Linked DNA regions of Nothobranchius furzeri. The protein of the gene in region 1 interacts with the protein of each later gene in a pairwise test. Links are inferred from orthologs where the notes say so. Each region holds a gene or a part of one and is shown in the gene's direction. Other genes may lie near its edges.

Region 1 (5,276 bases):
CACTGACTTGTTCACACCCCAAGGTCCTATGTGCATGTTTGTGTGATGATGTGAGGGAGCAGGAGGAGAAAAATATGCGGGGATGGGGAGGAATGGCTGGTTGGGCTTAGCCCTCTAGGGATTGTCCAATTTGGTGAGCCTGAGTGAATTGTAGCCACATTTTCCTGTTCGTAGCTGGAGTGGGACCGGGTGTGGTCTTCTGCTGCTCTTCTGCATACCTTGGTTGTAATGAGTGGTTATTTGAGTTTCTGTTGCCTTTGTATGAGGTCGAACCAGTCTGGCCATTCTCCCCTGACCTCTGATATCAATAAGACATTTTCACCTACAGAACAGCCGCTCACTGGATGTTTCCCCATTTTTGGACCAGCCCCTCTGGTGCCAACAACCATGCCATGTTCAAAGTAAATCACCTTTCTTCCCCATTCTGAAGTTGGTGAACTTCAGCGGGTCATCTTTAGACATCCATATCTGCATGCCTAAATGTATTGAGTTGCCACCATGCATGTGATTGGCTGATTAGTCATTCATGTTATCGACCATATGGAGAGGTGTACCCAATAAAGTGGCCAGTGAGTGTAGTTCAGTCGTACCTGGACCAGCCTCTGCCTTTAAGGTCAGGTAGTAAAGAAATATTAAAATTTGGTGATTATAGTGAAAAAATTACGAATTTACTTTTTTTCTTTGATTTATCTTATAAATATATTCTTTGGTAGGGAAAGGTTGCATGTATTTTCTTGTGTATTTTTTTCAAAGTTATAAAAATGTTTTAGGTGACATTTTCCGTCTTAATTCAGTTTTGCAGGAGGAAAACTACAGAAAACCTCAGCTCAGTTAACAAAAAAGCGTTTAAAGGAGATGTTTCAGCTCCAAATCACTTTTAACAAAATTCCCTCCAAACATGCAGGGTGTAAATATAACAGGGAGAAGTTCTGATGTAAAACAGATGCATACACATTTTAGGTCGGAGGGACCGGTGGCGCCAGTGCTCGGCAGCCTCACCTCTGTCAGTGCGCCCCAGGGCAGCTGTGGCTACATCGTAGCTCATCACCACCAGTGTGTGAATGTGTGTGTGAATGGGTGAATGACTGATTGTGTTGTAAAGCACCTTGGAGGGTTCCAGGACTCTAGAAGGCGCTATATCAAATACAGGCCATTTACCATTTCACCATTTAGATTAAATTTGAACCTAATGCATGAACAAAAATCCTTAGCTGGATAAATGCACCAGCTGCATCATGTTCCACAACAGATTTTTATGTTTGTATTACTAAAAATCAAACCAGACTTGGTACATAAATACTATCACGTTTGAAGAAACATAATTATCAATTTCATATATTTTTTATCAAAGGCTTTGGTGATGTGCAAAACAACTTTTGTTTAAATGAAGTGCTGAAATATTTGTTGAAGGCACATTTCACAAATTGTGGTTTGATTTATCCAGTGGCTCTTTCTTATGACTATGAAATTTATGATTTTAGTACAATTTAGCAGTATTTTCAACTTTTCTGAAAACTTCTTGATCACTCATTTAAAAAGCATTAATTTATGTTGAGTTTAAAGATTATTATTTTGTACGTCTACCTTGGCTTTGTCCTTTTTTGACCAAAAGATTATTTAATCCTCGGTGAACTCTGGGATGCAATACCCGAGATAAACACAAGGCGGCAGCAGCAAAGCCTCAAACCAGAGTCTCTCCAGACTCCAGGGGAGGAAGACCAGAAAAAGGAGGTGTGTTTTATGGGTGTGTTCATCAGTATGGTGTATAAGAGACGGTCGTTTCGTTGACTTATGATCTTTGCTGACAAACGAACGAGGTTTTCACTTTTTTAGGGTAAGTATTAAACCTCCTCTGTCTTTAGATATGTAAAGTTCAGGTGTGAGCCGAGGGTGTGAGCCTAAAAGCGTTCTGGCTTTCTCTGGAGACGTGCGCGCGAGCACGGCTCTCCTCCACCAGGGTTTGTGTTTTACGTTTGTTACGTTTCATCACGTCTTGTTGAAAAGGATTGTTTTGGCCGCCATTCTTAAAAGAAAGAAACACCAAAAAGATAAAAGCCTGTGGGCTTTCAGCTCGCATCTTTTCAGTTTTAGCGATGACTCCCATAAACTCAGCCCAACTTTAGAAACTAAATAAAAATTACACTCATACACTAAATTATGGGTTACCATAGAAATTACATTTGCAAAATTGTATATTTTGACATTTTTAAAAGGCCGTAATTTATTTTAAGAATTATTTTTATTGTGTTTTTGTCACGTTCTGAAGTTTTTTTTATTTTTTAATTTTTTTTTACGTCTTTCTTTCATACCTTAAGTCTGTTACATTTTTACTTTATGGCGAGCAGAAGTTGAATTAATCAAATGTTGTATTAATTCATTATGAAGCTTGTTGTAAAGGTAGATATAATTAATTTGTCAGAGCTACTGCTGGCGGACAGAGAACCTGAATGGCCCTTGAACCAGAGCTTGTAGACCCCAGATTTAGAAAAACCACCTGATTCAGTAGACTATTATGTTGGGATTTAATCTCAAACCAAAGATGTAAAAATGTGTCAGTTATTGTTGAATAGCTTATTTTGTAAGTCAAATAAATAATACAATTCCAGTTAATATTGTGATCAGACATGTGTGTTTAATCTAAACTGATAGAATACAGTAAACACAATAAGGACACAATAAAAACCCAAAGTCTGTGTTGATATTCCAATCTTGGCTGATGAGTTATAATTATTTAGAAGTCCTGGGGAGAGATTTGTGCTAAGTGTTTGAATCCTGTGCTGGTACCTGCTGCTGATCCTCTGTCTCAGGGTTGGTTTATAATCTGTCTCTTTCCTTGTCTTCTAATCCAGTTGTGTTGAGATGAGGTACAGCAGGTTAATTCAGCAGCTGTGGGAAAGATGGCTTTCTCTTCTGAGCCGCCTTCAAGGAGATCCAAAGGTATCCCAACTCCTTTCACCTGTTTTATTTTGTTATTTATGTATCTTGACTTTTCCTTTGGTTGCATCCCTTTCTGACCAGCTGTGTTGTGTCTTTAACAGGTTGCACAGCTGCTGAACACAAGGATCGGACTGTACATCTGCAGAAGACCTTTCTTGGCTTTCACACTGCTGCTCTTCAGCGCCATGGCTGTTCTGCCTGTGGGAATCTTCCTCATGTTTGCCCTCACAACCTTTGTTATCTCAGCTGTAGGATTCGTTTTCTTTGAAGGTTGGTACTTTCTGGTTGGACACCGCTCCTGGATTGAGTGTTTTTTCTTTTGTTTGTTTGTTTTTTAACTTATTTCTCAGTTAATTTTTTATTTATTTTATTTTTTTAGTGTTCCTGTTTTTCATTGGAGGGCTGACTCTGCTGTCCGTGCTCGCTGGCATCGCTCTCTTCTCTCTGCTGGTTTCAGTCATCGTTAATGCTCTGTTCGTCAGCATCCCCAACCTGCTGAAGCAATATTACTCACAACCGTCTACGGTAGTCCACACACACTGACTGCACTCACCAAGTTGTATTTTAAACCTTTTGATCATTTCCTTCCTCTGAACCAGGAGAAACAGAGTGAGGGTGAAACTTCTGGACCGAAGGAGGCGAAGTAGATCGCTCCGTCCTCCCTCTAACATGATCGGGATCCAGGATCTGATCTGATCAGCTTCATGGCAACTTGACTGAGATGATCTGCTGTCGGAACAGTTGTTCTACGTACAAAGGCTAAAAATCAATCTTCAGTGTCAATCTAGGTTCATCACATTTTATCTGTATGTCGTGCAATATGTTTGGATTATTTATAACAAGATAACTTCAGGATTTTGATGTTTCATCAAAAACGGGCTTTTAAAACTGATTTCTTTTGACCCAGTTAATATTATAAGAGTTTGTATTGAAATGATTTCTGTAAAATAGGTCCAGTGTTTAGCTATTTATCGTGTTTCAACTTTTAAAGCTAAATTTCTACATGGCCAATAAATTTTAGGTATTTTTTACCCGTTTTAAAGAGAAAACCGCTACTCTTCAGCTTGAAATGATGCTTTTAAGAATAAACATGATTTTGAATCATTTTTAGTTGCACCTTTTTTTTATTTTTTAAACCAGTTTGATGTGTTGTAATGTAGAGAATTAAATGGAACCAGGGAACTTTGTATACATAAAAACTGTGGCTATTATATTTAAAACTATTTATTTTGTAAGCCACACACAGTGGGTACAGAAATTATTCGGAAACTCATCAATTTTCACTGTTACATTGCAGCCATTTGCTAAAATCAATTAAATGTAGTTTTTCCTCACTATTGTACACACAGTACCCCATATTGACAGAAAAACAGAATTTTATAAATGTATGAAGATTTACAAAATTAAAAATGAATCACACGGTCCCAAGTATTCAGATCCTTTGCTGTGACACTCATATTTATTTCAGGTGCTTTCCATTTCTTCTGATCATCCTTGAGATGGTCCTACGCCTTCATCGAGGTCCAGCTGTGTTTATACTGATTGGACTCGATTAGGAAAGCCACACCTGTCTATATAAGACCTTACAGCTCATGTCATGGCAGGGACTGATTGGAGGGCCGACAGGAGCAACCTGTTTATGGTTCCCAGAGGTGTGAGTTGATCATACCTGGGTTACGGGGTTTTAGTGTACGGTTCGGTGACCCCCTCAGCCTTGCGGCAACTGGGTGTGGTGCAGGCAGCGGCCTTGAGGTTGTGCAACGGGGCTTTCCATTCGACTCCTGTGTTGGCACTTCAGGTGAAAGTGGGTGAAATGGTGCTGGAATATTGGTTATGGGTTAAGCTTGAGGCCAAGTCCACACGTAGCCTTTTTTTTTTAAACGAATATCCGCCCCTCCAAAAACTTGCATCCACACCACCTCGTTTAAAAAAAACTGTCCACACGTACCCGGATAAATACGTTGTTAAGGACATGCCAGACCTGTAGGCGGCAGTACTTCCCCCGTTCTTAACCTCGTCCTTCGTCTGTGGTCTTCCGCAAGGAGCAGTAATTCCGCTTGCAAAAACAAACAAGCAAAAAGCGCTTGGACAATTGATAAAGCGAGCGCAGCTCTGAGGGCATCCATGCTGTCGGCTAGTGTAAACACAGGTCGCACACGTGATGTCAGCATTTTTTGTCGCGGAAAGTGACATCAAGGACCTTAAAACACCGGTTTTGTCTGTCCACACGCAGACATCCAAAACGGAGAAAACGCAGATCTTCACTTTGGCCGGAGTTTTTAAAAAGATCCGTTTTCGTGTGAAAAAACTCCGTTTTCGTGTGGATGACAGGCAGATCC
Region 2 (5,284 bases), on another chromosome or scaffold:
GCACAGGAGTTAAGTGCTCGCCCCACAATCGGAAGGTTGCAGGTTTGAGCCCCGCTCAGTCTGTCGCTGTCGTTGTGTCCTTGGCATAGGTGTCATTTTAACCGGGGACGCCGGGGACATGTCCCTGGCAAAATTTGTGATTGGCAGCTGTGCCCCCCCCCCCCCACTTTCAAAAAAGCCTGCTGATGAGGATTTTTGTTTTACCAGCTCAGATCTTAGCCTACTTTATTGTCCCCAGCAATTCTGAAAACAAACTGACGCCCTTGGTCCTTGGGCAAGACACTTAACCCACCTTGCCTGCTGGTGGTGGTCGGAGGGACCGGTGGCACCAGTGCTCGGCAGCCTCGCCTCTGTCAGTGCGCCCCAGGGCAGCTGTGGCTACATCGTAGCTTATCACCACCAGTGTGTGAATGTGTGAATGACTGATTGTGTTGTAAAGCGGCTTGGGGGGTTCCAGGACTCTAGAAGGCGCTATATCAAATACAGGCAATTTACCATTTAAAAGAAGCCATCTTGGGGCAACGGTGGCACGTAATCTGAAAGTTGCAGATTCGAGCTCAGTCTGTCACTGTCGTTGTGTCCTTGGGCAAGACACTTAACTCACCTTGCCTGCTGGTGGTGTTTGGAGGGACTGGTGGCATCTGTGAGCGGCAGACCCGCCTCTCTCAGTGTGCCTGAGGGTAGCTGTGGCTACAATGTAGCTCATCACCACCAAGGTGTGACTGATTGTGTTGTAAAGCACCTTGGGGGGTCGGAATAAAGAGAAAACATTTTTGTCATTGGTTTTAAAGATTTAGGTATTGTCTCACAATTCCAAGTCTCTACATCCGTAAATATCGCACTATTAGTCTGCATCTGTGTTAGAGGTGAATTCCCAACTGTCTCCTCTGATTCTCCAGCAGGCGTTCCGTTCCAAGAATGTCCTCCATGGAAAGCCGAAGTGGTGACAATCCTTACGACTTCAGGCATCTGCTGAGGAAGACCTCTCAGAGACGAAGGCTCATCAAACACTACTGAAGAAGCATGTCCATCACATGGTTGCTTATGCAACAGCACAAATGTATAACTGAAACTGTTAAATCACTGATCATAGCTGAGTTTGGAGATTGTAAATAATTCAATTATTCATTCATACTGTAGCTCATTCATTAAATCTGTCATTTTTTCCCCCTTCGGTCATAAACAATTACAGACAATGCTGTCATACTTGAATTCTTTGCATTTTAATACATTTTCTTTTTCTTTTTTAAATCAGTTTTGGATGTCAGACATCTTTATCCTCATTGTAACATCTGATTTGTAAATTTAAATATAAATAAATTATGTTGTATTCCCATTTTTTCCCAAATATGTTGAATTTATGGTAAAATAATCAATATTTTTACCACCCATCATACAATAATCACAATCCCAACAGAGCTGAATTTATGTTGATTTATTTATTAATAATAATAATAATAATAATAATAATAATAATAATAATAATAATAATAATGTTCATCCAATGCAAGCTCTAGTGATTTCTCTTCAGGTTCAACCTCTGACCTTTATGTGACATTTTAAAAAGAGGAACACCCCCACAGGGGTTGTCAGTGGTAAACCCTTTGGTGCACGTTGAACACAAACACGACCATAGATGAGCTCCAGATGCTGAATTTAAAAACTGCAGAGGAAATAAATTGGAAAGAAAATTCATTGATAATAAAATAGACGTTGTTCTGCAGCTACTGGCCAAAGGGTTTATTTTTGGCGAACCAGATGACGTTACGTTGCTGACAGTTACTGTCAGATCTAAAGTAATTTCTGCAAAATCAGTTGAACCTTATTGGGTTAATTCAGCGTTTGCACGCCAGTTGACCATAGCAGCCATCTTGGATTGTGTTGATTCATTTTAAATAATAAAACATTAAACTTTAGTTTGCTTTTCAAATACATTTCAGGCCAGTCATCCAGAATAAAACCTGAAAATCGGTGTTTTTGGAGCAATGCGCGCACCAGCAGAGGAGGAGGGGCCCGAACACCCCCTCACACACACACACACACACACACACACACACACACACACACACACCCAGCATCCCCGGAGGCGGGCAATTAAAGCAGCCGGTAAACCCAGAAATAAGGTCCGCAGATGAGCTAGTTGGCATTCGGTGTCTATGGAAGGTCTATGGAAGGCAGGACGTGGAGCGCGCAAGGGACAAAATGTTGGGGGTGTTTGGAGTCACGACGCACGACGCGACGTCATGACCCTGAAGTGAATCACGATGGAATTTCTTCTGCTGACGTGAAATTCCCAGGCCCGACACGCGCGCTGCATATGTAGCTGCTGTTCACATCAAACTGTTTTTGAGTTAAATGTGATCACCTCTTCATAATTAACTTCATCAGCGCTAGTTTTTTTATTTATTTATTTTTCATTGCGTGTCTGCTGAGTGGAGAAAAGTGCAGCGCGCTCTGAAGAGTGCGCTGATTGTTTGGGTCCTTTTTTTTCGCGGATTTCTTTGTGCGCACACGCAGCTTCATGCACCGCGCACCTGTGGATGCCCGCAGAAGGAGCACCGAGGACGCCTTTGGGTTTTTTCCACTCGGGTTTATTTGCTGAAGCGCGTGTCGGATGTGCCACATTCTGGAGCGAGGTCCGGTCACGTTCAGCACCACGTCGGCTTCGAACAGCTCCCCGCTCGGCGCGTTTGAATGGGCTCTGTCGGTCTCCGGTGTCTCCCGCATCTCCTAACTACCAGCCGCGATGGCTTCACACGGGTTCTGGTCTCTCGGCGGGGATAACGCGGGGACCAACACCGGCAGTCAGAGCCCCAGCACGCGTGAGTGTCCTCTTTTCTCTTTTTATTGTCTCCAAATCCAGACAGGCCTGCATGGTGCTGATTTTATTATCTTGTTTTATTTGCGCTCCAGCGTTTTTACTATGTTTTTACCATTAAGTTGGACCAATAACTAGAAGTACATGACTTATTTCTGTCTGCCTCGCAGCCAGGGCTTGGTGCCAAGCGGCGGCCCAGAAATTATCCGGAGGAATTGGATCTAAATTATGTGGTATGAGACTGATTATGGGAGCGTTTCGCTGTTTCATTGAATGATTTTATTCACATATACACATTCTGAGTTATTGTTTTATATTTATTTAAAATGCGGAGGGTTTGTGTTTCTCCAAAGCGCTGCTGAACGTCGGGGAGGTGGAAAAAACCGCCGACCCGGCCGCCAAACAGCCGCCGCAGACTGCTGCAGGAAGCTGCGGCTGCAACAAACCTTGCACCTGCACCAAACCCGACGTGGTCTTCTCAGACCTCTATTCAACAGGTACAGAAACCGGATTCCGGTGTGTTTTTATGCAATAAAATAAAATAAAATATGCTATTTTGCTACTGATTCGTCTAAAACAGAAATACTCTGTTGTATTTTATTATCTAAGCTAAAAGGTGAATATTTGGGTTATTTGTAAAAGAAAAAAGTACCTGCAGGCCTAAAGCTCTACAAGGAAATCAAGCTGAATATGTGGTGGTATAACAAATAATTACATTCTGTTTTTAGTGTGATCATTTCCTCTTGGAGGTCACCTTCACCTTGAATCTGATGAGCTCAAATAGTACTCAGCTGCATTTTGGTTCTCCAACACAAACGAAAACAAAACCATTAATAGTAATAAACACATTTGTTTTGCATCCTTAAACGACACCCCCACCTCTTCCAGACCTGTTACCTGCCTTGGACGGTGACACCAAAACGATGACCTTCCTGCAGGAGGTGGTGGACCTTCTTCTCGCGTACATAGTTGAATCTTTCGACCGGGAAACGAAAGTCATTGATTTTCACTATCCAAACGAGCTGCTGCAGCTGAACAACTGGGAGCTGCAGGACGAGCCCGCCACCCTGGATGACATCTTGATCAGCTGCCGCGCCACTCTCAAATACGCCATCAAAACTGGTAGGTGCAGCTTTCTCAAATGCACGTCTAAAGATGCGCAAATTGATTGGTGCAAAGCCCACTGGTGCATTGTTCAAATGAAGGCCTGCTGCATGTATTTTTGACATAATCAATAATTTTGCAACTGAAAAGTAAATTTTAAATAAAAGCATGACATCTTTTTTGTTTGTTTTTGTTTTGATGTAATTTTGAGATGGTTTTTTCGCAACAATCATGCAACTATTTCAAATGCGCAGTAATTTATATTGGATTAATAAAACATAATGATAAAAGAGCATCAACATGGAAGCCGTCCTTCCTTCTGCATGGCCACCAGACCGATAAACGCAGTGGCGCAGTAAATCAGCTTCAGCAGGCGGCAGATAATAGGCTAATAATCCGGCTGCACAGGCCAAGTCCATTATTCTCACTGAGTGACACATGCAGAAGGAAATTTACAGCAACGGAAACATGTCAAGCTCTTCTATAAAAAATGCAACTATTTTATTAATTTCGTTATAAATGCAGCTTTATTATATTAGATTTCCTTTATGCTGTGAATTTTTATTCCTCTTTAAAATCATCGGTGCAGTTCTTGCGTGCTTTAATACTCACCCTCACATGTTTTCACCAAAGCGTCGCTGCAGCTGCATTTCTGCACTCTAATTAAAGCGTTTGGAAAATGACAGCTCTGCTCCTTTTCTTGATAAAGCCTTGAAATTACAGTTTCCTCGTCTTCTCCTCCTCCTCTTTTCTCCTCTTCTATCTCTCCTCCCGTTCAGCCCACCCCAGGTACTTCAATCAGCTCTCCACAGGATTAGACATGGTTGGACTGGCAGCTGATTGGCTGACATCCACTGCCAACACCAACATGTGAGTACGTGGCCCTGCTGCTTCAGCAGGATCCTCACAGCTGATTTAAAAACCATGACAATGGATCCCATTTCCGGTGCACCCAGTCCGCGTCTGTTTGGGCTGATAGCAGCTTTTTATTTTCCCTAGATAACCACAATGCACTACTCCCACCCCCACCCCTTCACATCTGATCCCCACTGGGATTCAAAGGGGAGGAAAATTACCTCTGAAATTGCATTCAGTCTAATCAGGAGCTAATTTTAAGTGCGTGTTTTCAGGGTGATAAACTCACGGCTGCTGGAAGAGAGGCGGCTAAGACCAATGAGTGGTAAAAATATAAATATGTATGGAAAAATGGGCTTTTTATGGAAGATTTCTGAAATTAAATATGTGCAGCAATCATTTCCCTACATGAGTGGTTTTAGTTACAGAATAATGTAAAAAATACTAATGCATTTAAAAATTCTTTAAAATCTGGAGATATTTGAATAAAAGTGTAAACAATTTACA
Region 3 (5,073 bases), on another chromosome or scaffold:
TCTGGAACCTATGTGTGGATGTGATATCAGCCAGAGCTTTCTTATCAAAATGAGCTGAGTTCTGGATGTAAAAGAATTTGGTCTGCGTTAAACTATGAAGTTGTTATCGTCAGAAGCACATTCAGGCGCAATCTCTCTGTGCTCTACCTCACCCTGTGATGTCATGGTGGTCTTTTCTGGAGGAAGAGTGGGGAGCCCAATAATTTTTCCAGTGGTGGTTATGGCCCCTTCTGGCCACCTCTTGAGGGTGCCACTGCCTACAAGTAACTTAAATGCAGGGAATGCTCCCATAAGCAGTGTTAGCTTGGTTCTGTAATCCGGTCAGTGGAAAATCACATCAAGTTTGAGAAACATCCAGATTGTTTCATAATCATTCAGAACAAAATGATAATCGACTCCGTGACTTCTCATCGCTGCTTCAGGTGGATTTGCTTCGTTTGCGGAGCGACGGCAGGCCAATTAAAGGGAAAGTAGACGAGATCGTAACTCAGCTGGAAAGAGGCGGTCAAGTGACTCAGCAAACCCTTGATGAGATGCTGTGTCATGCCCCCACTGGGAAGAGGAAACCGGCGCTGTTGGAGGAGGTGAGCAGGAAAAGCCGAAGGACTCTGAGACCTCTTCAGTTCACTTTGTTATCAGAGTGAGTCCTGGACCAAGTCAGAATCGGCCGACCTGTATGTTCATCGTGAGCTGATACGGACCGTCAGGGCTCTTCTTGTTGCCTCATTTCTATTATCAGTGTTCTAGATTCACTTCTGAAGCAAGCACAAAGATGTAGAGGAGAAAAACGCACTAGAATGACCATTTTATTTTCCTTCTACATGATAAAACTTCCACACCCTTTACAACAGAGTATCAGCTGTAACTAACTTATATCTAAGCTGCCCTTAAAGAAATCTGACTAAGTTCACACTTGTGTCATTTAAAGTTGTTGGCAGGTACTTTATTTAAATTGCATATGTAAATCTAAGGTAGCATATAGTCTTGAGTGGTGTTGGTAATCTGCAGATACATTATCAACCTGAACACCCACAGTCTGCAGGCATGTCTTTGGACTCGTGGCTTTCCTGACACAACTAAAAATGGTCCCTGGAAGAAGAGAAACATCATGTTAGATGTGCTTGCTGATAAATGTCAGGAGTCCTTTTCTGAAACTGTGTTTGAACAGACTCTGGGAGTGTAAATGAGAGATGTGTGAGACGACGTATGAAAGGTTTAGTAATAAAAACAAAAGAAAAAGAATAAAGGAATGCTTTTGTTTATTTCATGTTGTGCACTCAATTTGAAGTCATTATCTTAAAGATCTATTTAGTTTTTCAAAGAGAGAAGAGGGATATTTATTTATACAAAAATTAATGAAATTGAGTCCAAGTTTAGGTTTTTTGATGTTTTCAAATCTTAAACCTTATTTTTTTATCTTCCACATTTAATTCACTTTCTTTTGTTGCACAAATGTTTAATGCAGCTATCTGGAGGACATTAAGTTTATAGGTGCACCTTAAACAACCAAGTAAATATTTTATTTTGGATATTTTTCTATTTCTCATTCTGAAACACATAACTCAGTGATTTCTGAAAGTCCTGTATGAGGTATGTTGGGCAGTGGGTAGATATCCTTTAATACAAATAGCTGTTATTTAACTTTTAAGAATATTATGAATGTGGTTTTATAATTACCGGTATAGCATTGTGCTTTGTGTACAGTTTCTAAACAAGTGAGCATTTTGACCACATCTTTTTTATGCATATATCCAACCCCATACTGTGGATGCTATTTAAGTATATTTCTTTCCTTTTGAAATATAAGTTGCTTTTATTTCTAAATTTCAAGATATTATTCCCAGTTTAACTAAATTTCATTTTACATTTAGTTGTGTGATGATTACACACACACACACACACACACTTGTCTTGTATTTGTTGTGAGGACCGTCGTCCATTCATTCTACTGACTGGATTGTGCCTAACCATACCCAGTCTATTCCTAACCCTAACCTTAACTTAAACTTAGGCCCTGTCCACACGTAGCCGGGGATCTGCCAAAACGTAGATATTTTCCTACGTTTTGGCCTGTCATCCACACGAAAACTGAGTTTTTTCACACGAAAACGGATCTTTTTAAAAACTCCGGCCAAAGTGAAGATCTGCGTTTTCTCCGTTTTGGGTGTCTGCGTGTGGACAGACACAAAACCGGAGTTTTAAGGTCCGCAACGTCACTTTCCGCGACACAAAAATGCTGACATCACGTGTGCGACATGTGTTTACACTATCCGGCATCACGGAAGCCTTCAGAGCTGCGCTCTGTCACTACCCGATCCATCAATTGTCCAAGCGCTTTCTGCTTGTTTGTTTTTGCAAGCGGAATTACTGCTCCTTGCGGAAGACCACAGACGAAGGATGAGGTTAAGAACGGGGGAAGTACTGCCGCCTACAGGTCTGGCATGTCCTTAACGTATTTATCTGGGTACGTGTGGACAGTTTGTTTTTAAAACGCGGTGGTGTGGATGCAAGTTTTTGGAGGGGCGGATATTCGTTTTTAAAAAAACCCGGCTACGTGTGGACTAGGCCTTAATTCACACCATACCTGAAACTGATGAATAAAGCTATGTAACACTAACCAAAGTGATAGCCAGGGAAAATGTCCTCAGTTTGCAGGTAAAAAGCTTGTCATTGGTCCTCACTTTGATACATAGACAAATACACACACACGCACGTGTTCATCTGTGATTTTTTTACACACAATTCCTTTGTAAAAATAAATCTGATTTGTTGTTAGAGACTAACAATTGTTCACAAAATCTATCAATATTGGGAAGTTTTCATCCCATTCTCTTATCTAAGAAAACAAAAGATCACCCCATTCCTTTAACCCTCCCACTGTCTTTATGGGTGACCCCGCGAGGAAAGTTGACCACTGAGCACACCCATCATCAGGACAGTGGGAGGGTTAAGGGTTAAACATACTTTACAGCATTCATGTAAACAAATATGACGCACATCAAGTGCCTCCCACAATGCACCGCGCCCGTCGGGCAGAGCAGAGCTACGTCCCTGAAGAACAACTAAACCGCTCATTTCTACCGGACCAGACTTGTGTTAACTTGTTGAAATAGTTAGGAAGCGCACTAAAGTTCTTTATTTCAGTTTAAGAGACCGAATGAGAGTCGAGGATACGTGATATCCACTCCTAGCGGCAGCTGGTGGCGATGCTTCTGACCATCAGCTAGCCGCTTAGCTAGTCGCCAGTGACGGGAGAAGCTGCTGGTGACACCCGGCATCAGACACGAAAACAAAGGGAGGAAGAAAGTAGACTGAAGAAAAACGGGTATTTGTGAAATTGGGTTTTGTGTAGCTTTAGGAAACGCAACACAATGAGCACCGAAGAGACAGCAGCCCCCAACAAAGCCGCTACTCCTGAAGATGATGGCATGACTTGGTGGTATAGATGGCTCTGCAAGATAGCCGGCGTTTTGGGAGGAATATGTAAGTAGATGAGCAATCCCACACAAGCCAAACCTTTAGCTACACGTAGTTTAATTATTTTCTGACACGTGTGAGAAATCTTTGTCATTTTCTCTCGACTTTACGTTAATTGTGAGGCTGAGAGCAGACTGATCTGACTGCAGCAGCCTCTGTGGGCTTGCTTACTCATCATTAGCTGTTTATTCTTAAATAAAGTGATCATGAACTCAACCGTCTGAGAAAACAGCCAGCTCCGTCTGAGAGTGAGATAGATGTGATTAAATGCTTGAGCTGCAGCCTTTCCAGCAGCATTGCAGCTCAGTGACACCAGAGTCCCTGTATCACATTAACCACTGCATATTCAATGGCTCCTGTATTATTGAGGAGGCTGTATGGTTTAAAGGAGCAGGATCTGCTGTGTGAGGGATAATAGAGGACTGCTCATGTCATGTTTAAGCTGATGTCAGATCCATAAACACAATAAAGATCTTTTTTCTTTTGTGTTTAGATAGATGACTCCCTTTTAGCTGCACAGTGTGACAAGGCTACAACTGGGTAGTGGTTGTATTTTATCTACATACTGTTAGGGTTCGGGTATACTGATTCATTTATTCTAAATGACACAGTTGGTATTGGGTGGGAAACGCTGCTTTGGTTTTACCAATTGTTCCTTGTTTTGTGCTGAACACGCAGCCTGTGCCATCTCAGGGGTGTGGAACTGTGTCACCGTGAACCCTTTAAACATTGCTGCCGGAGTTTGGATGGTGTAAGTACTTACATCTGTCTCACTTTACTGTTTAAATCTTCTTAATCATGTTTCACAAAAACATAATAGAGAATTTAATGTAGTATATTAATTATATGCCTACAAGTCACTCTTGCAGGAACTGTGTAGACTGAACTGTAGTTGGGATGATTCTGTACCTGATGCTTTCCAGAAGGAATGGGAGAAATGGTTGAGAGATTTGGAAAATTTAACAGATTTCCAAATCGGCAGATGCCTTAAGCCAGAAGGGTTCGGAAAGGTAATCGGCGCACAAATGCATCACTTCTCTGATGCAAGCGAAAGTGGGTACGGTACAGCTACTTACCTCAGACTCAGAAACGACAAGGAAGAGATGCATGTTTCATTTCTATTTGGCAAGGCTAGAGTAGCCCCGTTGAAACCTGTTAGAGAAAAGATAAAAAAGAAAAGAAGAAAAACAAGGAGGAAAAAAAAGAAAAAAGGATGGATCAGGGAGTACTTGCTACCAATGCAGGAAAAAAGGGTTAGAAGTGGGAGACATAGTAGTGGTTATGGACTACACCACTCCTAGAGGATCATGGGTGTTAGGGAAAGCCCTTAAAATGTTTCCTGACAAGAAGGGCTTGGTTCGAGTAGTTCGCCTTCAAACCAAGACTAACATTATCGAGAGACCAATAACTAAGCAATGTTTAGTGTGTGAAGGGGAAACTTAGGTTCAAAAGGTATTACGGGTCTTTTGGTTTGTGTGTATTTTATTGTGTATTGTTTTTTTTTTTTTTTTTTTTATAATGGCTCCTGTAATTTAAGTTATTGTAATTGCTATGTCTTCTGCTATGCGCAATTAGGGGCTGGCGTGTAGGAGCCAT

The links. The genes of interacting proteins can lie anywhere in the genome.
Region 2: the proteins of lipid droplet assembly factor 1 (region 1) and gad2 interact in binary tests that used the Homo sapiens proteins (3 or more experiments, as listed by UniProt). The two-hybrid records come from large-scale screens. The link is inferred for Nothobranchius furzeri from reciprocal best matches to the Homo sapiens genes LDAF1 and GAD2.
Region 3: the proteins of lipid droplet assembly factor 1 (region 1) and cacfd1 interact in binary tests that used the Homo sapiens proteins (3 or more experiments, as listed by UniProt). The two-hybrid records come from large-scale screens. The link is inferred for Nothobranchius furzeri from reciprocal best matches to the Homo sapiens genes LDAF1 and CACFD1.

What each region holds. Positions count from the first base shown.
Region 1 is NC_091752.1:57,003,267-57,008,542, reverse strand, and holds lipid droplet assembly factor 1, read left to right. Parts: upstream 1-1,712; 5' UTR 1,713-1,834; intron 1,835-2,849; 5' UTR 2,850-2,859; coding exon 2,860-2,937; intron 2,938-3,038; coding exon 3,039-3,207; intron 3,208-3,316; coding exon 3,317-3,462; intron 3,463-3,536; coding exon 3,537-3,584; 3' UTR 3,585-4,043; downstream 4,044-5,276. UniProt on the Homo sapiens protein: Plays an important role in the formation of lipid droplets (LD) which are storage organelles at the center of lipid and energy homeostasis. In association with BSCL2/seipin, defines the sites of LD formation in the endoplasmic reticulum.
Region 2 is NC_091747.1:58,589,933-58,595,216, reverse strand, and holds the start of gad2 (glutamate decarboxylase 2), read left to right. Parts: upstream 1-2,073; 5' UTR 2,074-2,746; coding exon 2,747-2,822; intron 2,823-2,988; coding exon 2,989-3,051; intron 3,052-3,171; coding exon 3,172-3,315; intron 3,316-3,706; coding exon 3,707-3,940; intron 3,941-4,701; coding exon 4,702-4,792; intron 4,793-5,284. Other genes in the region: myo3a (myosin-IIIa), read left to right, coding at 903-1,017. UniProt on the Homo sapiens protein: Catalyzes the production of GABA.
Region 3 is NC_091746.1:61,747,433-61,752,505, forward strand, and holds the start of cacfd1 (calcium channel flower homolog), read left to right. Parts: upstream 1-1,862; 5' UTR 1,863-2,255; coding exon 2,256-2,464; intron 2,465-2,506; exon of another isoform or gene 2,507-2,638; coding exon of another isoform or gene 2,639-2,655; intron 2,656-3,352; coding exon 3,353-3,483; intron 3,484-4,155; coding exon 4,156-4,228; intron 4,229-5,073. Other genes in the region: ptcd2 (pentatricopeptide repeat-containing protein 2, mitochondrial), read left to right, coding at 423-644. UniProt on the Homo sapiens protein: Transmembrane protein which mediates synaptic endocytosis and fitness-based cell culling.